3 linked regions of the Macaca mulatta genome follow. The protein of the gene in region 3 purifies or fractionates together with the protein of the main gene of each other region. This does not show direct contact. Links are inferred from orthologs where the notes say so. Each region holds a gene or a part of one and is shown on either strand. Other genes may lie near its edges. The genes, in order: FBXW5, PHLPP2 and WDR20.

Region 1 (2,272 bases), on a different chromosome or scaffold from region 3:
CATCACCCTGGGCCCCCTGAGCTCCGGTGCAGCTCTGACAAAGCCTGCAACGTCCAGCTGGAGCTGCACCTCTGCTGCCACTTCTGGGCCCCTGGTCCCTTCCTCCTCGGCATGAACTCTGAGGAGCTCTGCCCAACACCCTCCCTGCCCCCAGCAGCCGAGGCACTCCCTCAAGGACGGGACTGACTGTGGAGGCTGCCCTGGCACTGGGAGCGACGCGGCCTACTGACCCTGGAATCAGCAGGCCCTCCATGCTGCCAGCCCCGGCAGATGTGCCAGGCATCTCCCTGGATGTCACAGAGGGGGGACAGGGCAGTGTGACAAAGTCTGGCACCAGTACATGACCTCAGACGCACATGTCACTTGTCAGCAGTGACTGCAACAACCACTCCAGTGGGGCCACTATGCCAGCGGTGACGTCACCCGTCAGTAGTGACGAGATCCGCTCCACTGTGCCAGTGGGGCCCATGGTCTCCCTCCCTGCAGACAGAGACTGAACAACAACGTGCTGTTGCCAACTGTTTATTCAGGGCCCTGAACGGGTGGTGCGTGGACATGCAACACACTCGGGCCCACAGCAGTGTGACTGGCCGCTCCCAAGCCCCGGGCGCACAACCACAGCCAGGCTGCCAGAGCCAGCAGCCTCTGCCACTGCTGGGCCACTGTCCAGGGCCCCGCAGGACCAGCCGAGGGTGCCCCAGGCTGAGGCCAGCTGGGGCGGGTGAACCCCTAGCCTAGGGATGAGCGAGGAGCGGCACCCCCAGTATCCTGTGCACCCCAAGCTGGCCAGGAGGCCAAGGGGACCTTGGCTTCCAACCTCACTGGCCACCCTGTGCCAAGCATCACAGCTGCGTGAGCAGGTTTGCGTGTGAGAGCGTGGCGGGGCCTGGCTGTCCCCTTCCTAAGGCGTAACTGCTACAAGCGTCTCCACCTCTCCCGCTCGGGAAAGAACCACAGAGCCTGGGTGGCGTCGAGGGGTCCCAGCGGCTCCAGTGCACCCTGCAGCACCCCTCAGCGCCTCTGGCTGGCAAGCCAGGAGAAGAAGGCGCGAGGCCGCGGACGACGTGCCTGGAAGACGCGCACGGTGCGTGGGGAGCGCCAGGCTTTGATGGTGGCATCGTCGCTGGCCGTGAGCAGCAGCTCCTGCTCCTGGGGACTGAAGGCCACTGAGTTGACCACGTCCTCGTGCCGCAGCTTGGCCAAGCAGATGTTGTAGTGGCGGTCCCAGATGTAGCCGTGCCGGTCCTCCGCCCCACTGCAGAACAGCGCCTGGATGAGCCGGTCGCCCGCCTGCTGCGCCCACGCCCGCCCTGCACCACGCTGCGCCCTGCACCTGGCCACGAAGTCCCTGCTGACGTCCAGGAAGATGAAAAAGCACTCGTCGTTGGGCGTGTAGGCGCGGTGCGCACGCAGAGCCCGCCTCACCTCCCGCATGGTCTTGAGGTCGAACACCAGCAGGTCAATCTCCTCCGCGATGGGTGGCGGCTGCATGGGGTCAGCCACCACCGCACCACTGGGCCAGGCGCGGCTGTTCACATACAGGTACCTGGGCGAGGGGCACTGTGCTAGGTATGGGCCACCTGCGGGCACCCCGCCTGGGACACTGGCAAGAGGCCCACCTGTTGTCGGGCGACAGGCCCATGCCAATGATGTGCCCGTGCACGTCTATGACGTGGTCCAGCGCGTCGAAGAAGGCATCAGAGCCCCGGCCCTCGCCCAGCACGGGCCCCGCCGTTGTCATCTGGTGTGGCAGGATCTGCTTGATGCCTGCAGGGAGGGCTGCGGTGAGGGTCCCTGCCCAGTGCCCCGGGGACGTCACTCCAGGACAGCCCCCTACCCCAACAGTGTCTCTGGGGCTGTGGGCACCGCAGAGGTCTGCGGGCATTGCCTGCTCCGGGGGCCCCAGACCTGAATCAGGCCCCTCAGCTGCTCACTGGCCAGCGGGCCTGCCTGTTTGTTTTCACCGCTCATCCCGCAGACCCCAGACGAGGCCAGGTCTGGGCTTGTGACCCCGGGGTGAGTGAATGATCCCAGCTGTGCCTGTGAACTTGCTTGCCGTCTGCCCCCCAGGACCCCTGCCCGGCCTCCCCCAAGCTGCTAGGACCGAGGCGGGCAGCATGGCGGCAGGGGTGTACCGATCTGGTGTGGGGAGTAGGTGAGGCAGCCAGTGGTGAAGATGAGGTACTTGCTCCTGGCGCCTGTGGCACTGCGCTCAGGGGGCTTGGTGTGGCCCTGGGCCAGCAGCTCGGCCACCTTGGTCTCTAGCACGCGC
Region 2 (3,655 bases), on a different chromosome or scaffold from region 3:
GAGAAGCCACTGAGTGTTAGCTCCCTCAGCTGGTTCCGCTCACAATGCAGCTGTTCCAAGCTGCATAAGGAGCTAAGATCCAAGTCAGTCAGTCGGTTGTCCCGCAGATCCACGTGGGTGATGTGTTTATTTCCCTCCAGATTTTCAATAACCATGGTTTTCAAATGGTTCATCCTTAATATGCAGAAACAAGAAAATAATCAGAAACAAGAGTCTATTAAATGTGCTTACCAGAATAAAAAATAGGACAGGCATGATCCCTTTCTCCGTTTCCTTTTCTTTTTGTTTTGAGACGGAGTTTCGCTGTGTTGCCCAGGTTGGAGTGCGATGGCGTGATCTTGGTTCACTGCAACCTCCGCCTCCCGGGTTCAAGTGATTCTCCTGCCTCAGCCACCCAAGTTGCTGGGATTAGAGGCACCCCCACCATGCCCAGCTAATTTTTTGTATTTTTAGCAGGGATGGGGTTTTACCATGTTGGCCAGGCTTGAACTCCTACCCTCAGATGATCTGCCCACCTCGGCCTCCCAAAATGCTGGGATTACAGGTGTGAGCCACCATGCCCAGCTCCCTTTCTCTGTTTCCTAAACAATTTAAGAATTTCACTACTTGCCTCATTTTGCAAGATACTATATAAATAACTACAGTTGATGAATAACTCAAGGTACAGCTAAGTCAGACAATCCAGATTGGCAAATACATATACAAACTAATAAAGAGAAGGAAAAAAGAGGCCATATCCTGAACAAGTTAAACACTTATATCCAAACACCTAATAAGGTCAGGTGGGCACTAAGTAGGACAAAGGAACAGGAAGATGAACACAACCTTTTGAGTGAGACAGTAGCAAAACAGTCACAACAGTACCATGTCCAGAGTATAAGGATAGAACCATACTTCCTCCTATTGCTATGCCTGCTCTATCTCTAGTGCTAAGGTTCACATAAAATTAATTGACAAGGAAATAATCTGTGTATGTATATATACATATACACACACACATATATATACACACACACACATATACCGAAGAGTTCAAAGGTAAATTATACAAAATGACCTCTGAGTTCTTTTCTGTACAAGTATATGATTTAATTTATGCAGGTCTGTTCTCACTTTCCTGTATTTCTATAAATCTCTCAAGTCTCCAGTGTGGTTAAAAAAACAAAAACAAAAACTCTCTGTTACTGTCTTTACAAGGTACATCAATGGTTTACTGTAAATTACAGAACACCCAATAGGTGTCTTTTTACCAGCTTCAATTAGGAAAAGGTTATGACTAGAAAATAAAACCCTCATAAAAGGTTCTTAGTAATGAAACCTTTAACATTTTAATTGTAATACAATGGATATCAAGAAGAAACCTAATGACTCAACAGAAAAATGTCATTTATGGAAATCTACAAACTACTAATATACATATAAAAAGATGTTCAACCTCACTGCTCTGTAAATAAATGTTGATTAAAACAATGAAATACTTGTTTCAATCTACTAGACTGATGATAAAGAAAAAGAAATGCTAAAATCCAACACTGACAAAGATATGAGAAAATGGGAATTCTCCTACAATGTTGGAGGGGTTGGGCACAGTGGCTTACACCTGTAATCCCAACACTTTAGGAGGCCAAGGCAGGAGGATTACTTGAGCCAGGGAGTTCAAGACCAGCTTGGGCAACACAGTGAGACTCCATCTCTACAAAAAATTTAAAAAATAAAAAATATACATTGATGGGAAGGTGAGCAAAAACAACCTCTGTCCAAGGCAATTTGATAGTCTCTATCACATGGTACAACTACATGATCCTGAATCTCTCTGCTACTGAATGATAACTAAAGTCTTACTATACCTTTGAAAATACACATTTCTATACTGTTCAAAACACCTAATGTTACGGGCCAGGCATGGCAGCTCACACCTGTAATCCCAGCACTTTGGGAGGCTGAGGTGGGTGGACTGCTCGAGTCCAGGAATTTGAGACCAGCCTGCACAACATGGTGAAACCTTGTCTCTACTAAAAATAGAAAAAAAATCAGCCAGGCCTAGTGGTGCGCACCTGAAGTCCCAACTACTTGGAAGGCTGAGGTGGGAGAATCGCCTGAGAACAGGAGGTCAAGACTGCAGTGGGCTGAGATCGTGCCACTGTATTCTAGCCTGAGTGACAAAGTGAGACCTTGTCTCAAAACAACGACAACAAAATTTTAAAAACCCTAATGTCTTAAACAAATCTTCATAAAGAGAAGACATAAAGGTCCAACAGAGTCAATTTAAAGGAAGCTGCGGTAAAGAATAACCTTACCTTAAATCCACATGCTTGATATGGTTCATCCTATTCAGCACCCCTAAGTTCAGGACTTCCAGGCAATTTCCTGCCATAACCACTTTATCTAACATAGTGAGTTTCTCATAAACCTCAGGAATTTGACTAAAGTTGTTGAACGAAATTCCCAAAGAGGAAAGCTGTTGTAGATTTCCCAGTTCTTCAGGTAAAGTAGTCAGAAAGTTGCCATCAAGACAGAGGGTTTGAAGACTACAGGAAGAAAACAAAACAAGTCTACTTTATGGAAGGTTTCACTGGAATGCATAGAATCAGAGTTACGGATTCTGATTTATGTCACTAATTATCAATCCAAAAATAGTAGTGTCCTAACTCTCCATCTATACAGACTTAATAGATGACTTACACATAACTTACACAAATGGTCACCCCAACATTAAAAGAGTTAAGACCTCTGCTGTTGAAGCTGAGGGATCAGTCCCTGCTACAGGCAGGTAGATCTATGATGTCAAAAACTGCTGCTGACTAGAATCCTAGTAAGTACATGATTTATTTCACTGCAAGAGCTCACAGTACTACCTTCATTCCAAACCCCAGGCAAATTCCTTATCCTGCAAGGGAAAAGATGAATCTAGTAAAAGTTACTTACTTTAGCAGATTGCCAATTTGACTTGGTAGGTCACGAAATCCATTACAGGAAAGGTTGAGCTCAGTCAGGGTAGAGATCTCACATAATAATATAGGAAACAACCCAAGTTTATTATGGGACAAGTTCAGGCCCTTCAGCTGAGAAAATCTAAAGAGCAAAGGCAAAAATGGATACTGCATTTCAATACATCTATTACTATATCTTTACGAGGGACATCAATGGCCTTTGATAATCCATTTTAAATGTCTATAATAGAATTTATTCCAAAAATACTTATTGAGCACTCGCTACACATCAAACATTGAGTGGGGACAGAGGACACCAAGATGACTAATGCACAGTCCATGTGATGAAGGAAACCAGGTCTAGCATTACAGGAGCTCTCTTTTCTCTTTAAAAAGGTAGACAATCTTGAAGAACAGCTCATGCTGGTATAATTCTTTTGTATTTCATCATACTTGATATGCTTGAAATTTTTCATTAAATTTCTACATGTAATACACAAAAGCCTTGCAAGAATTAATCAACTCATAGAGCAACAGCTAACAAATATGTAGATCAAATCCCATTTTTAATAAGCAACTTCTTTTTTCATACTGAAATTATGTTGGCTCAAATGTCACATAAAATGAATAAACCAGTTAGAGCTTGAAAATAATGAATGTGACAGCATTTTACCATTATGTGACCTGATACACAAAATAGTAACTTTTAGTGCTTCTATTTTGTT
Region 3 (3,655 bases):
CACCTGTACAGAGTGGGCTCCAGCAGTGGGTCTTAGACTTGAGTGGGCATCAGAATCACCTGGAAGGCTCTTTAAACTAAGGCTTGCTGGCCCTACTCCCATAGTTTCTGATTCATTTAGTCTGGGGTGAGGTTTGAGATTTTTGCATTTCTAAGTTCCCACGTGCTGCTGCTGCTGCTTCTGGTTTGGGGACTACACTTTGAGAACCACTGGGCTGCAGGTAACTGGCCAGTGGGCATTTAGGTGCTGTAGATACATTGAAAGCTGAGCTTGTTATGTGGTCACTCTGTTAGACACTGCTTGAAATGCATTTTGAAAATACTGAATTTAGTATCTCAAGGATATTTCCTGCTGAAGTCCAGGAGTCTTTGTTACATGTACTTGAAGGAGAATAAGTTGTGAAAGTAACAGTTATAAACATATTATAGATAGTCTAATAATATCGAATTGGCTAAGGTATGTGAAAGTGCTTTTATAAAATGTTAGATGAATGTTGTCACAACTGAAAAAATATTTTAAATAACTTCGTTTTTAAGATTAAACATCATAATGGAGTATAAAATAGCATAACTTAGATTTCTCATCTCAATGTGCTGTTTACTGTATGTATTTTTCTCTTTCTCCTCCAGGCTGCTGACTTGAGTAAACCAATAGATAAAAGGATATACAAAGGAACACAGCCTACTTGTCATGACTTCAACCACCTAACAGCCACAGCAGAAAGTGTCTCTCTCCTAGTGGGCTTTTCCGCAGGCCAAGTCCAGCTTATAGACCCAATCAAAAAAGAAACTAGCAAACTTTTTAATGAGGAAGTAAGTAGCACCCCGTCTTAGCTGTTAAGAATCCCTTTAAGAGTTGATACATTCTCACCGAGGTTAGTGGGCCTTATTTTGCACTTCAGGCTAAGCCCATTTTTTATTCGCCCAGCCCTCCTACCTAGTATGCCCAAGTTTAAATGTGGTGGATAAATTTGTTGACCTTACCTGTTCTTCCTTGGGGTAACTGTTTTGTGCATTTTTATGGAGCATGCTCAGGTGTCTATAACAGTTGTTTTAAAACTCTTCTATAATGGAGATAGGGACAGTACTGTAACTCGGTATTTATAATTTAAATAAGAAAATATAGAATTCCAAAGTTGGTTTACATCACCAGAACATTTCATGCAGATCAAAGAACTTGATGACATTTCCTTAGGCTGCTTAAATTGTAGCTAAAGCTTCTGTATGTGTGTTTGACAGTTATTTGGCTAAGGAGTACTTCACTTGCTCTTGAAAATAGTTGCTGTAAACTCACCTTTGACATAGTTAGAAATTCTGGCACTTAAAGTTTGGTCACATGACATAGCTTTTGCCAGTGTTGTAGTATGTACTGGGGTTTCTAGTATCTTCAATTTCATTCTGGAAAGAGCCTGAGATATCTGAGCTGTCTGTTCAGGAACATGTCAGGGCTGTTAAATGTGGCATATAGAAATTGCCAAGTAGATTATATTTTTTAAAGCTGTTGGAGCATCTTTCAGCCTCAAGTATTGCTATTTCATATTTAATGTTCTTCCTCCTCTGTTTCAGTATGACTTTTCTACCAAGTGGGAAAGATAAGGTAGGCTTGCTGAGTTAGAAACCCTGGGTTCCAGTCTCTACTTGGGACCTTGCCGCTGAGGTGCAAGGGTCAGGCTATGTAGGACCCCCTCCCTTTTGCATTGTTGCATGGTTTGAACATCATTAACTTGGAACAAAAACACATTATAGAATATGGTTTTTAAGAAATAATTTTGTTTGGGGAAGAAAGTTCAAATTGACAAATAAATGGCAGTTAAAATTTGGATTCTTCTGCAGTCGTGGTGCTTGCTATCCATGCAAATCAGCGTCCACCCAGGGTGCTCCTGTCTGACTTCGCCAGTGGGTTTGATAAGATCTTAGGAACCATGCCGTCTCTTCTAGTTTCCTCTGAGTTGACTGGAAATAAAACTTGCCATCTGGACTGACACACTGTAGAGGAAAAGTATTTAATCCCATTTTGCATTAAAAAAAAGTGAAGCAGAAAATATTTTATTTACCTAGATGTTTTGTTAGTATCATCTGAGGAAGTGATTTCTGAGTAGCTGGATGATTATTTTTTTGGTGCTGGGTTGCGGGAGCAGCACACAAAATTGGCCTCCTGTGCACTGTTAGCAGAAATTGTGAATTTGGAATCATTGTGGGTTTTTATTGTTTAGGTAAGGGAGAGTGTGATTGAGGGGGCAGGGATTGGAGCCATGTACAGGGCTGTTAGTAAACAAGACCCGGAGGCAGCCCTGGCCGAGGATGGTACAGAATGCCGCTTAGAGAACAAGAAAGTTTTGTGTGTCGTGGCAGGGGGAGGGCAGGGAGTTGGAGACCACACGTCCCCAGAGTTTCAGGGCTCTGGGAGCACCCAGGCTGCGTCAGCCAGAACTCGCTGCCCTGGTGACTGGGAGTTGCAGGCTGGAAGGCAGCTCCTCATTCTTCATGATTTAAGCATGAGTTTTCTCATACTCATTTTACATTTTATTTGAAAAATTGCTATTTAGAATGCTAGGACTGTGTGTGGTTTAATGCCAGCTTGGCATTTACAGCTTGAGGCTGAAATTGATTGCCCTTCATAGTAAGGAAATTCTCTGGCCGTGTGGATACATTTTTATCAGATTTTGGTCAGAATGTCTAAGAGCAAGAGTCACTGGAGGTTTGTTCCTTAGAGAGTGCCAGGAATGGTGGTGGAGTAGTCATCGTGTCGTGCTTTGCTATGGTGTGAGATTTACAGGTTTCAAGGCACTTTTACCTGTGGCCTCTATGGGGAGGGTGGGCAGTTATACCCATTTTACAGATGAGGAAATAGTCAAAGAGCACGTAAGTGAATTGTCCAGATCAGGTCGCAAGTTGATGACAGAGTTGGAACCAGAATTAATCCAGAAACTCTTATTGGTTACAGGCCCTACCATGCATGGTTGCCAGATCAGCTCTTGCCCTTCTGGGAGCTCACAGTTTAGTAAGGATGGACAGAGAGTACTGGGCGTGTGTCAGCATAGCGATATGAACAAAATACCAAGGGGTAGCTGCCGCAGGAATTCTTCAGTATGCATCACATAACATAAGGTTTTTAAAAATGTTAAGTTCACTGGGGGAGTTCCAAGAAATGCTTTCAGAAAGTGACATTTGATCTGGGTCTTAAAGGGTACATAGTCGTTAGAGGAGGGTAAGGAAGGCCTTCAGAGCTGGAGGAACAACTGGGCATGTGAAAGAACGTCCAGGAACAGCTTGGCCACATCACAGTGTGGGACTTGGAGTGGCAGGGTTCGAAGCTGGAAAGATCAATTGGAAGCAGCTTGTACTATAAAAGCCCTTTCATGTCACGTGAAGAAATTTGGAGCTGACACTGGAGGATGTGGGGGAGCCTTTGGCCTTTTAATCAAGGGAGTGACAGGATCAACTGTGTTTTTAGAACTCTTGTCAGCACTTGTGGAAGGCGGATTGGAATGAAGACAGACAGGATGAAGGTAGCAAGACCAGTGAGGAGGCTCTAGTAACTGTCCAGGTGAGAGCTGAGGGCTTGAACTGGAGTTGTGGCCATTGTTTCATTCATTCAGGACCTGACTTCCTGCCACATGCCCAGCACTGGGTCTGCGGCAGCAGCAAAACCTGCC

Evidence for each region.
Region 1: the proteins of WDR20 (region 3) and FBXW5 purify together in Homo sapiens (co-immunoprecipitation; 3 studies listed by BioGRID and IntAct, counting the BioPlex papers as one, with this or other methods). This does not show direct contact. The link is inferred for Macaca mulatta from reciprocal best matches to the Homo sapiens genes WDR20 and FBXW5.
Region 2: the proteins of WDR20 (region 3) and PHLPP2 purify together in Homo sapiens (affinity purification with mass spectrometry; 4 studies listed by BioGRID and IntAct, with this or other methods). This does not show direct contact. The link is inferred for Macaca mulatta from reciprocal best matches to the Homo sapiens genes WDR20 and PHLPP2.

What each region holds. Positions count from the first base shown.
Region 1 is NC_133420.1:5,526,126-5,528,397, reverse strand, and holds the end of FBXW5 (F-box/WD repeat-containing protein 5), read right to left. Parts: coding exon 2,136-2,272; intron 1,768-2,135; coding exon 1,620-1,767; intron 1,547-1,619; coding exon 1,334-1,546; intron 1,256-1,333; coding exon 1,012-1,255; 3' UTR 507-1,011; downstream 1-506. UniProt on the Homo sapiens protein: Substrate recognition component of both SCF (SKP1-CUL1-F-box protein) and DCX (DDB1-CUL4-X-box) E3 ubiquitin-protein ligase complexes.
Region 2 is NC_133425.1:68,207,403-68,211,057, reverse strand, and holds part of PHLPP2 (PH domain leucine-rich repeat-containing protein phosphatase 2), read right to left. Parts: intron 3,073-3,655; coding exon 2,926-3,072; intron 2,529-2,925; coding exon 2,298-2,528; intron 175-2,297; coding exon 1-174. UniProt on the Homo sapiens protein: Protein phosphatase involved in regulation of Akt and PKC signaling.
Region 3 is NC_133412.1:175,551,983-175,555,637, forward strand, and holds part of WDR20 (WD repeat-containing protein 20), read left to right. Parts: intron 1-629; coding exon 630-812; intron 813-1,565; coding exon of another isoform or gene 1,566-1,596; intron 1,597-3,453; coding exon of another isoform or gene 3,454-3,546; intron 3,547-3,655. UniProt on the Homo sapiens protein: Regulator of deubiquitinating complexes. Activates deubiquitinating activity of complexes containing USP12. Anchors at the base of the ubiquitin-contacting loop of USP12 and remotely modulates the catalytic center of the enzyme.